Linked DNA regions of Macaca mulatta. The protein of the gene in region 1 interacts with the protein of each later gene in a pairwise test. Links are inferred from orthologs where the notes say so. Each region holds a gene or a part of one and is shown on either strand. Other genes may lie near its edges. The genes, in order: SPDEF and NKX3-1.

Region 1 (7,350 bases):
CCCAACCATGTCCTGGCTGCCCAGTGACCCGGAAGCCCCGAACTCTGTCCCAGGCCCAGCCCACTGTCCACAGGGCCCCTCATCCCCATAACCAGCTTAGCGGCCCCCACAGGGATGGAGAAGCCATCAAACCTGAGTCCTCTTTCATTTCCGTAGACACAGCCGCCAGCCCGAACAGCAGCGGCATGGGCAGCGCCAGCCCGGGTCTGAGCAGCGTGTCCCCCAGCCACCTCCTGCTGCCCCCCGACACAGTGTCGCGGACAGGCTTGGAGAAGGTGGCAGCGGGGGCAGTGGGTCTCGAGAGACGGGACTGGAGTCCCAGTCCACCCGCCACACCCGAGCAGGGCCTGTCCGCCTTCTACCTCTCCTACTTTGACATGCTGTACTCCGAGGACAGCAGCTGGGCAGCCAAGGTGCCTGGGGCCAGCAGTAGGGAGGAGCCACCTGAGGAGCCTGAGCAGTGCCCGGTCATTGACAGCCAAGCCCCAGGGGGCAGCCTGGACTTGGCGCCCAGCGGGCTGACCTTGGAGGAGCACTCACTGGAGCAGGTGCAGTCCATGGTGGTGGGCGAAGTGCTCAAGGACATCGAGACGGCCTGCAAGCTGCTCAACATCACCGCAGGTGAGCCCTCTCCCTGTGCCCGCTTCCGTAAGAGGGGTCGCAGGCAAGGCTGAGGTTGCTGGGGTGGGTGGGGGTACTGCTGGATGGACTCTGGCCACCTCTGGCCCAGCCACGGGCAACTTCAGGGATGCTGGCACTTCTACACACAGTCAGCTGTGAGCCAGGGCTGGGAAGGTTTCTATCCATCTCTAGTGTCCCAACCATGCCAGCCTAGTGTCCCCGCTGGTAGGTGCTGAATGATATGAATTCAAGCTCTGTGCCCCCCCACCTCCTCTTGGACTCCGCTCTCCCCTCATTCACTCTGCTCCAGCCACACTGGCCTCTTTGTTCCCACAACACTCACTACGCTGCTGCTTCTTCAGCCTAGAACGCTCTTCCCCCAAATATCTGCGTGGCTCACTTCCTTCAGGTCTTGGCTCAGATGGCACCATCCGCCTGAGGCCTTCCCTGACCCCTCCATTAAAATTGCTGCCCATGAGCACAGGACATGGTAAAGAAAACAAACAAAAAATGGAAAAAAAAAAAAAAAGAAAAAGAAAAAAGAAAGAAGAAAAATTTCTAAAATTTCTGCCCACACCCCTACCTCCTGTTCCCACCTGCTTCCTCTCATAGCACTTACTCTCCTCAGTCGTGCTGCACCATATCTATTGACCTCGCTCACTCTCTGTGTCCTCTACTGGAATGTACACTCCACAAAGGCAGGGATTTTCATGTGTTTTGTTCATCACTCCATCCCCAGATGCTAGGATAGCACCTTGAACATAATTGATGCTCAATAAACAGTTGTTCAATAAGAAGCATTTCTTCCTCCTTCTTCCTTCTTCCTTCTTTCTGAGACGGAGTCTCGCTCTGTCGCCCAGGCTGGAGTGCAATGGCGCAATCTTGGCTCACTGCAAGCTCTGCCTCTGGGGTTCATGCAATTCTCCTGCCTCAGCCTCCCGAATAGCTGGGACTACAGGTGCCCGCCACCACGCCCAGTTAATTTTTGTATTTTTAGTAGAGACGAGGTTTCACCGTGTTAGCCAGGATGGTCTCCATCCCCTGACCTCGTGATCCGCCCACCTCGGCCTCCCAGAGTGCTGGGATTACAGGCCTGAGCTACCGCGCCCGGCCTCTTTTTTTTTTTTTTTTTTTTTGACAGGATCTCCGCTCTATCACCAAGACTGGAGTGCAGTGGCGTGATCTCAGTTCACTGCCACCTCCGCCTCTGGGTTCAAGTGTTCTCCTGCCTCAGCCTCCTGAGTAGCTGGGATTACAGGTGCCCACCACCACACCCAGCTAATTTTTGTATTTTTAGTAGAGACGGGGGTATCACCATGTTGGCCAGGCTGGTCTCGAACTTCTGACCTCAGGTGATCTGTCTGCCTTGACCTCCCAAAGTGCTGGGATTACAGGCATGAGCTGCCTCTCTGGGCCAAAAAGCAGTTCCTAATATGCCAAGCCTTATTCTAGGACTGGGGAATTGAGTGGTGAACAGAACACAAAGTCCCTGTGTTTGTAGGGCTGACATTATAGTGAGGGAAACAGATCACAAATAAATAGAGAAATGTGTCACTGGTCTGGTGGGATGGAAGGCCCTGATGAGGAGGGGACGTCCCAGGGCCTGGCATACATGTGTCTATCAGCCAGACCTGGAAGGCGTGATTATGGAGCTGATGCTGTGGGCGGGGGGGTTGCTGAGTCTCTAGTCCTCTGTCCTGCCGTCACCTCTCCAGCTTCAGGCAGGCCTGACCCATGTCCCTCGGTCTTCAGGCCCTGACATTGCAGCACTCAACTCTGTGCACCTTTCCCTGGGAAGCAGGGGTCTTCATGCATTCCTCAGGCCTGGTCCCTGTCCCCAAAGCTGCCCCGTTGATGTCCTCATTTGAAGCTGCTCCTGCCGATGCCCCAGTCCTCCAGTTTCCCAATGCCCATGCCAGGCCGACTCCAGGAGTTCTCCCACAGGCCTCCTCCCCACCCACAGGGCTAGGGAGGGGAGGGCCCTGCTCCCTGAACAATGGGAACAGGAACAAATGGCTTTGACCTCGGGGAGGAAAATGGGCTTATTAAGTGGGGGCAGCCCAGCCTGCAGGTCACTCAGCTGGGACACTGGCTGGACCATGGTGTTCACTTGGAGGCCCTATTGTGACCATGCCCACCAGCCTATCCCCCACCTGTAGGCCTATGAGGCTCACCTCAGAGGAACACCCTAGGGGGATATCTAGGACCTAGCCGAGGGCTCCCGTCCTGGCCTCTGGGGCCTGTGGCTGCCCCATGACCATCCTGTGCCCTGCATTTACTTATTTAACACATGCACGGAGCAGCTCCTGTGTGTCCAGCCCTTTATTCCGTGGAGGACAAGGGGATAGAGTGCCCTGTGCCTCAGTTTCCTTATCTGTAAGATACAGGGGCTGGAGGGAATGGTGGGGCTCTAAGACTAATTCCCAGATGGGTGTTTCTCTGGTTCCTTGAGGGGTTTGGGAAAGGCAAGAAGTACCTGATGGAGAAGCCCAGGTGTTTCCGGTAGAGTGTCACTGTCCCTCCGGGGCTGGGGCTCCCTCGAAAGGTCCTTTGGAGAGGCTGGAGGGATCTGGGAGGACCCAAGGCCTGAGTGAGGCAGGAAGTACAGATGCACCAGGTTACCCTGCCCTGAACCAAGTTCATTTTTTAGGGCCCTGGTTCCTTCCTCTCGCCCCAATCTCTTCTTGGGTACCCACTTCCACAGGGGCCCTCAGGGGCTGACCTACCTCCACCCCCAGGAGCACAAGGTCTCAGGCCACAGGTTCCCGTGGGTGCCCCATCACAGCAGGGGGGGCTGTATTTGGGGTGGTGCTCTCAGGCTGCCCCTGAGCTGAGGGGATGCCTCTTGCCCAGATCCCGTGGACTGGAGTCCCGGCAATGTGCAGAAGTGGCTCCTGTGGACAGAGCACCAATACCGGCTGCCCCCTGTGGGCAAGGCGTTCCAGGAGCTGGCGGGCAAGGAGCTGTGCGCCATGTCGGAGGAGCAGTTCCGCCAGCGCTCGCCCCTGGGTGGGGATGTGCTGCACGCCCACCTGGACATCTGGAAGTCAGGTAGGATGTGGCGTGGGTGGGAGCAGCCCCTCCCAGGCTCCAAGCCAGGGACAGGATGCTGGCCAGGAGTTTGCCCTCTGCTGGGGCAGCAGCCCCTTGGCCCCCAGCTGGACTCCACTCTGAATCTCAGCCCCAGTTTCAGCTGCCTCCTGGATCCTGGTGCACTCCTCACCCCAACCCACTCCCAGTCCTGGTCAAGGCCCCAGAGCTTTGGGACAGAGCACCCGGGAGGTTAAAAGGTAGAAGTCAGACTGTGAGGATGCAGGGTGTCAGAGCTGGGGACAACCGTGGACGCTAGGAAGTCCTTTTTCCTTTTAAAATTTTGTTTTCCTTTGTTTTTGTTTGTTTGTTTGTTTGTTTATTAAATAAGTAATAAACGTGCATGTTATAAAATAGACCATAGTGAAAAGTAGTGTACCATAAACAGTTTCTCCCTCCTGCTCCCGACCCCCAGCTTCCAACCCCCTCCCTAGAGGCAACCACTTTTACCAGTTTCTTGAGTATCTCTCCAGGGAAAGTCTATGAATATTCAAGCACATATACATATATGCAGTTCTTCTTCTTCTTATATTTTTTTGACATAAATAGTAGCAGAGTATTACACTGCTCTGCATACCACAGTATGTCTTGGTATTAAAAACACAGTATGTCTTTAATTTTATACTCTGCTAAAATTAAAGTGGCCCTGCTTTAATTTTAGTTTTTGTTTTTTGAGACAGGGTCTTACTCTGTTGCCCAGGCTGGAGTACAGTGGCACAGTCACAGCTCACTGTAGCCTCGACTTCCCGGTTTCACTGGATCCTCCCACCCCAATCTCCTGAGTAGCTGAGTCTACAGGTGCACCACCACACTGCTCACTTTTGTATTTTTTGGTAGAGACGGGTTTTCACCATGTTGGCCAGGCTGGTCTCAAACTCCTGGGCTCGAGCAGTCCACCCACCTCGGCCTCCTGAAGTGCTGGGACTACAGGCGTGAGCCTCCGGGCCCGGCCTGCCCTAAGTTTCTAATGGCTGCGTGTCAGCCCCTGAGTGTCTAAATTGTCTCAATCTCATTGGGCACCCACTGCTGCCTGCACAGGGCCGGGTGCTTTGGAGGAGATGGTGCCTGCTCGATGAGTCAAGGAGTAAGAAGTAGGGCCCACTCATATGACCCTGTCAGAGACCAGTGCCCTGCCCCAGCCCCGGCAAGCCCCCATGTCAGATGTCCTCATCTGAACAAGCGGATGCGTGCAAGCCCTCTATGGCCCCTCCCAGCGCTGAAATCCTGAATTTTCGTCCAGGAAGCAGCTTCTTGTAACCAGCTTGCCTCCCCAGGTTGGCAGGAGGCAGGGACTGTGGCAGGGAGCCTCAGGGGCAACCCCCAGCCACAAAGGGGCTCCTGTGGCCCCACAGTCCCACCCAAACGCCTCCCCTCCTCCACCTCTCCTGGGTCCCCAACCCCCTCTCCTTGCCCTGCAGCGGCCTGGATGAAAGAGCGGACTTCACCTGGGGCGATTCACTACTGCGGTGAGCCAGGCAGGGGCAGGGCGGGGGCGGGGGCTCGGGTAGGGTGGAGGGGTGGCTGCCACTGAAGCAGGGACTGGCCTCCCCTTCCCACTCACTGCCCCCCTCCCTGGCCACCCAGCCTCGACCAGTGAGGAGAGCTGGACCGACAGCGAGGTGGACTCGTCATGCTCCGGGCAGCCCATCCACCTGTGGCAGTTCCTCAAGGAGCTGCTACTCAAGCCCCACAGCTATGGCCGCTTCATTAGGTGGCTCAACAAGGAGAAGGGTGAGCAGGGTGCCCAAGGGGCACTGCAGGGCCAGTGAGCATGGAGGTTGTGGGGGCTTCTGCCAGGCACTGTGCATGGGGGCAGGGGCGGGCAGAGGGGGGAAGCTGATCTCCACCTTTGTCCTGGATGCCAAATACACAGCTTTCATGAGATGGCCCTGGGGGGTCTGTGTGCAATTTGTGTCCATATCTGTCTCCTGCTAGACTCTGTCTCACTTAGGAGCTTAGTACAGCACAGCTCCTGGAACGAGCTCCAAATCGACTCTCCCTCCACCGTCTCGTATTAATTAATCCCGCCAGAAAGGGCTGCGCAGGCCAAAACTGCCTGGGAATAGCAAAGATGTTGTTTCAGGCTTGGGAACTACAGGGACACCTGTAATGGGGGAGGAGTGCTCTTGCCAAGTGAGCTGTGGGCACTGCTGGGAGCCACACAGGACTTTGGATTAGGGCACGCAAACCCCACACAGGAGCAGGGGCTGGCAAGGGCCAGGCCCGCAGGGCCCCAGAGAACCCACTAAGGTACACAGACTCAACTGTGCCGGGAGGTTTGTGACTCCAGAGTATTCTCTGCCATTCACTGGGGCCTGTGGCACCTGCTTTGCACACATCTCTTTAACCCTCACCACTACTGCACCTTGGGAGTAAGCATTCGGGTCCCTGGTCACCCCGCCCCACCCGAGCAGAAGGAGGCCTCTGCACAGGGTCTCTTGGTTCGCCCCGAGGCTGACCTGGTGGTCTGCGTCTTTCTCCTTCCTGCCGACTCACTCATACCGCTGGCTCTCTCGGGGCCCTCCTACTCTTCCAGGCATCTTCAAAATTGAGGACTCAGCCCAGGTGGCCCGGCTGTGGGGCATCCGCAAGAATCGTCCCGCCATGAACTATGACAAGCTAAGCCGCTCCATCCGCCAGTATTACAAGAAGGGCATCATCCGGAAGCCAGACATCTCCCAGCGCCTCGTCTACCAGTTCGTGCACCCCATCTGAGTGCCCGGCCCAGGGCCTAAAACCCGCCCTCCGGGGCCTCCCTCCTGCCTGTCCTGCCTCAGCCAGGCCCTGAGCTGGGGGAAAATGGGCAGTCTGCTCTGCTGCTCTGACCTTCCAGAGCCCAAGGTCAGGGAGAGGCGGCCCGCTGCTCTCAGGGGGAGATGGGCCTTCTGGGGCCTTCGGGACCCCAGGGCAGGGGTGCTTCCTCCTCAGGCCCAGCTGCTCCCCTGGAGGACAGAGGGAGCCAGGACTGCTCCCCAACAAAGGACCCCTCTACCTGCCTCTGACCCCAGCATTTCCAGAGCAGAGCCTACAGAAGGGCAGTGACTCAGCGAAGGCCACAGGCAGCCCAGGGCTCTCTCTGCTCCATCCCCCTGCCTCCCAATCCGCACCACGCCTGGCATGGTGCAGGGAGACGTCTGCACCCCTGAGTTAGGGAGCCAGGAGTGCCCCCGGGAATGGATAATAAAGATACTAGAGAACTGACATGTCCCCAGTGTCTGCGCAGTGAATGGCACAGCCCCGAGGTCATCAATGGTCAAGTGTGGTTGTGGTCACAGGGCCTGGAGTAGTCAAGGGAGGCTTTCTGGAGGAGGCGGCTTTGGGCTGAGCCTAAAGGGAAAGGGATAATTGACTGGTAGATGCTTCTGGGAGAGAGATAGTGAGGCTTCAAAGTCAAGGAGGGGCTAGAACAGCCACCTTATCTTCCCTATCCCTGTTCGGGCTGAGAGGCGGGTGGTAAGGCTGGTGTTAAAGAGGTTCTTCATGCAGGACCCGAATGGGGAAGGTATCTTTCGCATCCTTTTGCTCTGTTGCAGAGCAGGGCTTTGCAGCTAACAGGGTGGAAGAGAGGTTGGTTGGCTCCCGTTTCTGTTTCCTGAAGGCCTCAGCAGTACCGTCTGTGAAGATGTGAGCTCCTGTGAG
Region 2 (7,450 bases), on another chromosome or scaffold:
TCATATATGCTGTCTGTCACTGACCAAACGTCACGATGCAGGGCATGACCTTATGATAGCAGCTGTTCCTCCATGCTCTACACTGGACATTATCCATTTTCTTTCAACCTTTGTCAGTCTGAAAGGTGGAAAAGGTTTGCCTCAATGTGATTTTGATTTGCATTCCTTCACTGATGAAGTGTAGTTAAAATTATTTTTTCACGTGCTTGTTTGTGTTTTACATCTTTGAGCTGTCTGGAATTTATTTTGTCATAAGAATAGGACTTTATATTTCCAAATGGCAGCACTTTTTATTAAATAATTCACACCCAACTCTCAATTTTAAAAATGAAAGGAGGCCATCTCAATCTAAACCTCACACTATATACAAAAATTACTTCTGAATGAATCATGGATTTAAGAGTAAAGCATAAAACTTTTAGAAGATAACATAGGAGCAAATCTTCAGTATTAGGACTAAGTAAAGAGTTCTTAGGCAGGACATCAAAATCACATTCTGTAAAATTCAAAAATTCATAAATTGATCTTCAATGAAATTAAAATCTTTTGTTCTGTTGAAGATCCTGTTAGAGGGATGGAAACACAAGCTACAGACTGGGAGATAATATTTGCAAATCACCTATCAGACAAATACTTACATACAGCAATATATAAAGAATTATCACAACTCAATAGTTAAAAAAAAAAAAGAAAGAAAATTCAATTATAATACGAGCAAAAGGCTTGAACAGATATTTCACTACAGAGGAAATATGGATGGCAAACAAGCACATGACAAGGTATTCAACATCTCTAGGCATTTGTGAAATGCAAATTAAAAATTTAAACCACAATAAAGCCAGGCACAGTGGTTCACACCTGTAGTCCCAGCACTTTGGGAGGTGGAGGCAGGATTGTTTGAGCCAAGGGCTTTGAGACCAGCCTGGGCAACAAGGTGAAACCTCATCTTCACAAAAAATGTAAAAATTGGCTGAGCAGGGTGGCACACACCTGTAGTCCCAGCTGTTCAGGAGGGTGAGGTGGGAGAATCTCTTGAGTCCAGGAGTTTGAAGTTGCAGTGAGCCATGATCCCTCCACTGCACTCCAGCCTGGGCAACAGAGCAAGACCCTACTCTAAATAAATACATAAATAAATAAAAAGTCTGTAGTCTAGTTAACTGTAATGTCCCAATGTAAATTTCCTGTTTTCTACATTGTCCTACAGTTGTATAAAATGTCATTGGAGGACAACTTCCTGTGAATCTACAACGATTCAAAAGAAAACATTAAAGAATGTTCTAATATAAAGAGACTTTGAAAAGATAAGAGAAGAAAACCAGCTTTGCCAAAGTCTTTCCCATTGCACAGGTAGTTTTCTTCGGCGGCCGCTTTATCAGCAATAACCTATTAACTTTCCTTCCTCCAGAGACACATGACATACCATCCTTTTGAAAAGTTGCCAGTGGAATGGAAGGCATCTTAGACCAGGACAGACAAAAATGTCGCATTAAAAAAAAAAAAATGGTTAAAAAAAAATCAGCCTACCCTTTTTCCAGATTACCAACTGTTACCATTTAACCCATTGGCTTTATGGTGTGGGATCTAACTGCATCCTTGTTTCAGAACCATTTGATGTAAGTTTCGTAGATCTTGTGCCTTTGCTCCTACACACTTCAGTGTTAATTTCCTAAAAATATTATCTTATACACTGACAGTACAGTGTACAACTTCAGTAAATTTAACATTAATTCAATACTTCCACCATCGTCCTGACGCTGAGACTCACGCCTGTAGTCCTAGCACTTTGAGAGGCCAAGGCAGGAGGATCACTTGAATCCAGGAAATCGAGGCTGCACTGAGCTATGATGGCATCACTGCACTCCAGCCTGGGCGGCAGAGGGAGATCCTGTCCGTAGAAAAAGAAGGCAAAAGCCAAGGAAAGAAAATACTTCTATCATCTATGTTCCACTTTCGTCCGTGTCACGGTACCGTCCAGTCCAATCACAGTACCAGCTGGTCCAATTAAGCTAACCCATTGTTTAGCCAATGGGTTAAATGTTAACAGTTGGTAATGTGGAAAAAGAGTATGCTGATGTTCTTTTGAACTACTTTTTTAAATGCAGTTTTTGCGCCTATCCTGGCCTAAAACGCCTTCCATCCTTCTGGAAACTTTTCAAAAGGATGGTATGTCATGTGTCTGGGAAGGAAGGAAAGTTAATAGGTTATTGCGGATAAAGGAACCACCAAAGAAAACCACTTGTGCAATGGGAAAAGGCTTTGGCAAATATGGTTTCCTTCTTTCAGCCTGGGGTCAGGCTGCACCTACTTGTCATGCCTCTTTGAGATCTTAGATATTGCAGATCTAAGTTTGCCACCATCTCTCCCAGAGAGAGAAAGCATCCAGAACTCTCACAGTACCGTGCGGCTGCAGTGACTGCGTGCTCACCCCGTGTGATTGGCTCTGACCGTCCTGAAGAGCTAACTGGAGTGTTCGTCTTGGTCATCCCATCCCCATGAGCTTCTCAACTTCTGTTGCGGGTGGGTTGGGGCAGAGGAGCCCAGCTTTGGGGTGCGCTCCCGACCTGGGAAAACGGCTCAGGGCGGAGGGAGGAGAGCTGGGTGAAGGATAGGGAATTGGGGAAGGAGAGGGAACTGGGGAAGGAATCCCCTAGGGAGGAGCGGAGCCGGCTCGTGGTCAGGCCTTCCCGTTCCGCGGCGTCACCTGGAGCGCAGGGCGGCCAATCCGCGGCGCGGCCCGTCCCGCGGCCAATGGGAGGGCGGCGCGGCGCGCTTCCCCCGGGGCTATAAGCGCGCTGGGAGGTGGAAAGTGAAAGCTGTGCGGGCTGGCGCAGCGAGGCCAGAGCGGGGCAGCCGGGATGCTCAGGGCTACGGAGCCGCTGCCCGGGGAGGCGAAAGCGGAGGGGGCCGCGCCGCCAACCCCGTCCAAGCCGCTCACGTCCTTCCTCATCCAGGACATCCTGCGGGACGGCGCGCAGCGGCGAGGCGGCCACACGGACAGCCCGAGACGGCGCGACCCGGAGCCAGAGCCAGAGCCGGAGGGAGGACGCGGCCCCGCCGGGGTACAGAACGACCAGCTGAGCCCCAGGCCCCGCGCCGCGCCGGAGGAGGCCGAGACGCTGGCGGAGACGGAGCCAGGTAAGCGGCGAGGCCGGGACCCGAGGGCAGCCTAAGGTGGACCCCCCAGAGCTTGCGGTGCAGGGACGCGGGGCCCCGCGGCCTCAGGCAGAGGGAACTCCCCGCCTCCGCAGCCACGCGCGCGCGCCCCGGGGATGAACCCTGAGCCCCAGCGTCAGGGCGGCGCAGGATTCTGACACGGCAGGACTCTCCCGGCTCCGTGCCCTCCGCTCCCCGGGGCTCAGAAGCCGGCGCGACCGCAGCGCCACCGCCCTCCACCGTCCCGGGAGCGGATCCCGCCCCGTGCCACCCGCGATCGGCGCCAGCCCCACGGTAGTTACGAGAACTAATGATAACTTATTAATAGTGACAAAGTAGGGGTTGACCAGGAAAGCCTCCGTGTGCTTCCCAATCCCGTGGGCAGTAAAGCGGTACATTTTGGGTTCCCTCCAGGAAAGAGTTATTTTCTTCCCTGTCACTTCTGATGAGGCGACTGAACGCCTAGTTTAGTGAAGACGGAATTAAAGCCCAGAATGAGCCTGCCTCTGCGTCTCCCGTGGCACAAGCCCTTTCTTGCCCACCTGAGTCCTAACACCGGATGCCTTTTGGTCCGGCCTTCCCGGGTGTCTTGTTCCTCTGTCTTCCCTGCCTCCCTCTCCTGCCTCTCCTCAGCACACAGATCCAGAATCCCCATCTAATTCTACTAGACAATAGGGAGAACGTTCAACCACGAAACATCTCTAACTTTGGGTTCTTAATGATTCTTAGAAAATGAATAGGTTATAAACATATTTACTCACTCTTCACTCCGGAGAGCTCCTTAGTCATGTGAAAAAAGTGAAATGTATCCACGATGACAGTGGGCTGTTTGTTCACTCACTAAAGAGATAAGGGTGGATTGAATTCTGTTCTCTTCCCTGCTAACATGTAACTTTTGTCTTCCCATCCCTCTTTCCCCGCTGTCCTTTCCAGAAAGGCACTTGGGGTCTTATCTGTTGGACTGTGAAAACACTTCAGGCTCCCTTCCAAGCCTCCCCCAAACCCCTAAGCAGCCGCAGAAGCGCTCTCGAGCTGCTTTCTCCCACACTCAGGTGATCGAGTTGGAGAGGAAGTTCAGCCATCAGAAGTACCTGTCGGCCCCTGAACGGGCCCACCTGGCCAAGAACCTCAAGCTCACGGAGACCCAAGTGAAGATATGGTTCCAGAACAGACGCTATAAGACTAAGAGAAAGCAGCTCTCCTCGGAGCTGGGAGACTTGGAGAAGCACTCCTCTTTGCCGGCTCTGAAAGAGGAGGCCTTCTCCCGGGCCTCCCTGGTCTCCTTGTATAACAACTATCCTTACTACCCATACCTGTACTGCGTGGGCAGCTGGAGCCCAGCTTTTTGGTAATGCCAGCTCAGGTGACAACCATGTATGATCAAAAACTGCTTTCCCCAGGGTGTGGCTATGAAAAGCACAAGGGGCCAAGGTCAGGGAGCAAGAGGTGTGCGCAACAAAGCTATTGGAGATTTCTGTGGAAATCTCACATCTTCACTACTGAGACAATGAAACAACAGAGACAGTGAACGTTTTAATATCTAAGTCTGTCCCCCAGTGCATACTGTAGGTCATTTTTTTGCTTCTGGCTACCTGTTTGAAGGGGAGAGAGGGAAAATCAAGTGCTGTTCTCAGCTCTTTGCATGATTTTGGAGGAACTGTACACGTGAGGATTCTGTTCTACAACTCCATCCTCCTGTGTCACTGAATATCAACTCTGAAAGAGCAAACCTAACGGGAGAAAGGACAGCCAGGACGAGGATGTCACCAACTGAATTAAACTTAAGTCCAGAAGCCTCCTGTTGGCCTTGGAATATGGCCAAGGCTCTCTCTGTCCCTGTAAAAGAGTGGGGCAAATAGAGGGTCTCCAAGAGAACACCCTCATGCTTAGCACACATTTGCATGGGAGGGGGAGATGGGTGGGAGGAGATGAAAATATCAGCTGCTTCTTATTCCTTTTTATTCCTTTTAAAATGGTATGCCAACTTAAGTATTTACAGAGTGGCCCAAATAGAACAAGATGCACTGGCTGTGATTTTAAGACAAGCTGTATAAACAGAACTCCACTGCAAGAGGTGGGGCCGTGCCAGGAGAATCTCCACATGTCCAAGACAGGAGCCTAAGGAGGGTCTCCACACTGCTGCTCGGGACTGTTGCGTTTTTTGTTAGCAGAAAGTGGAAAGGACTCTCCTCAACTTTTTTCTCCCAGACTGGAGAATTTAGAATCAGAAGTTTCCTGGAGTTTTCAGGCTATCATATATACTGTATCCTCAGAGGCAACATATTTCTTCCTTCCCTCCTTTTACAATTTTTTGTTCCTTTTTTGCAGCAATTACTCACTAAAGGGCTTCATTTTAGTCCAGACTTTTAGTCTGGCTGCACCTAACTTATGCCTCACGTATTTAGCCCAAGATCCCGAGATCTGGTCTTTTTTTTTTTTTTTTTTTTTTTTTTCCTCTCCCCAAAGCTTTATCTGTCTTGAGTTTTTAAAAAAAAAGGTTGGGGGCAGATTCTGAATTGGCTAAAAGACATGCATTTTTAAAACTAGCAACTCTTATTTCTTTCCTTTAAAAATATATAGCATTAAATCCCAAATCCTATTTAAATACCTGACAGCTTGAGAAGGTCACTGCTACATTTATAGGACCTTCTGGTGGTTCTGCTGTTACGTTTGAAGTCTGACAATCCTTGAGAATCTTTGCATGCAGAGGAGGTAAGAGGTATTGGATTTTCATAGAGAAGGAAGAACACAGTGCAGAATGAAGGGCCAGGCTCACTGAGCTGTCCAGTGGAGGGCTCATGGGCGGAGTCATGGAAAAGAAGGCAGCCTAGGCCCTGGGGAGCGCAGTTCACTGAGCAAACAAGGGACCGAGTGAGCCTTTTGCAGGAAAAGGCTAAGAAAAGGGAAACCCATTTTAAAACACAGCAAGAAACTGTCCAAACGCTTTGGGAACTGTGTTTATTGCCTATAATAGGTCCCCAAAATGGGTAACCTAGACTTCAGAGAGAATGAGCAGAGAGCAAAGGAGAAATCTGGCTGTCCTTCCACTTTCATTCTGTTATCTCAGGTGACCGGGTAGAGGGGAGACATTAGAAAAACATGAAACAACAAAACAATTACTAATGAGGTATGCTGAGACCTGGGAGTCTCTTGATTCCACTACTTAATTCCATTTAGTGAGAAACCTTTCAATTTTCTTTTATTAAAAGGGCCAATCTACTGTTGGTGGCAAAATTGCCAACATAAGTTGATAGAAAGTTGGCCAATTTCACCCCATTTTCAGTGGTTTGGGCTCCACACTGAAATATTCAATGCCATGTACTGCTGACACCCACCGGGGTACTAGCCAGCACAAAAGGCAGGGTAGCCTGAATTGCTTTCTGCTCTTTACATTTCTTTTAAAATAAGCATATAGTGCTCAGTCCCTACTGAGTACTCTTTCTCTCCCCTCCTCTGAATTTAATTCTTTCAACTTGCAATTTGCAAGGATTCCACATTTCACTGTGATGTATATTGTGTTGCAAAAAAGAAAAAAAAAAAGTGTCTTGGTTTAAAATTATTTGGCTTGTGAATCCATCTTGCTTTTTCCCTGTTGGAACTAGTCATTAACCCATCTCTGAACTGGCAGAAAAACATTTGAAGAGCTAGTCTATCAGCATCTGACAGGGGAACTGCATGGTTCTCAGAACCATTTCACCCAGACAGCCTGTTTCTATCCTGTTTAATAAATTAGTTTAGGTTCTCTACATGCATAACAAACCATGCTCCAGTCTGTAACATAAAAGTCTGTGACTTGAAGTTTAGTCAGCACCCCCACCAAACTTTATTTTTCTATGTGTTTTTTGCAACATATGAGTGTTTTGAAAATAAAGTACCCGTGTCTTTATTAGATGTATCTGTGTGTGATTTTCAGTTTCCCAAAAATTACATGCTGTGTAACTTAGATATTTCTAATTACCATATCCTCTTGCCCTCGTCCACCTGACACACCAGTTGCAACCTATGGTGATCGAAAGCCTCAGCCTACCCAGTAGCTAATGATGGCCATCCTTTTATAAATGCACTGTCCTTCATTCCTGTTAAGTCATGGGGAGAGGAAGTCCTTTTCTCTCTTCAGTTTAATAATCAACTGTTCCACTATTCACAATAGCAACATCATGGGCTGAACCTACGTGTCCATCAACAGATGATTAGATTTTAAAATGCGGTGCATATATACCATGGAATACATATGCAACCATCAAAAATAATGAAATCATGTCTTTTGCAGCAATATGGATGCAACTAGAGGCCATTA

Evidence for each region.
Region 2: the proteins of SPDEF (region 1) and NKX3-1 interact in a two-hybrid assay, tested with the Homo sapiens proteins (2 studies listed by BioGRID). The link is inferred for Macaca mulatta from reciprocal best matches to the Homo sapiens genes SPDEF and NKX3-1.

The regions. Positions count from the first base shown.
Region 1 is NC_133409.1:147,733,926-147,741,275, forward strand, and holds the end of SPDEF (SAM pointed domain-containing Ets transcription factor), read left to right. Parts: intron 1-156; 5' UTR 157-185; coding exon 186-621; intron 622-3,474; coding exon 3,475-3,672; intron 3,673-5,129; coding exon 5,130-5,177; intron 5,178-5,295; coding exon 5,296-5,442; intron 5,443-6,247; coding exon 6,248-6,426; exon of another isoform or gene 6,427-6,500; 3' UTR 6,501-6,912; downstream 6,913-7,350. UniProt on the Homo sapiens protein: May function as an androgen-independent transactivator of the prostate-specific antigen (PSA) promoter. Binds to 5'-GGAT-3' DNA sequences. May play a role in the regulation of the prostate gland and/or prostate cancer development.
Region 2 is NC_133413.1:25,395,508-25,402,957, reverse strand, and holds NKX3-1 (homeobox protein Nkx-3.1), read left to right. Parts: upstream 1-2,819; 5' UTR 2,820-2,855; coding exon 2,856-3,135; intron 3,136-4,086; coding exon 4,087-4,505; 3' UTR 4,506-5,606; downstream 5,607-7,450.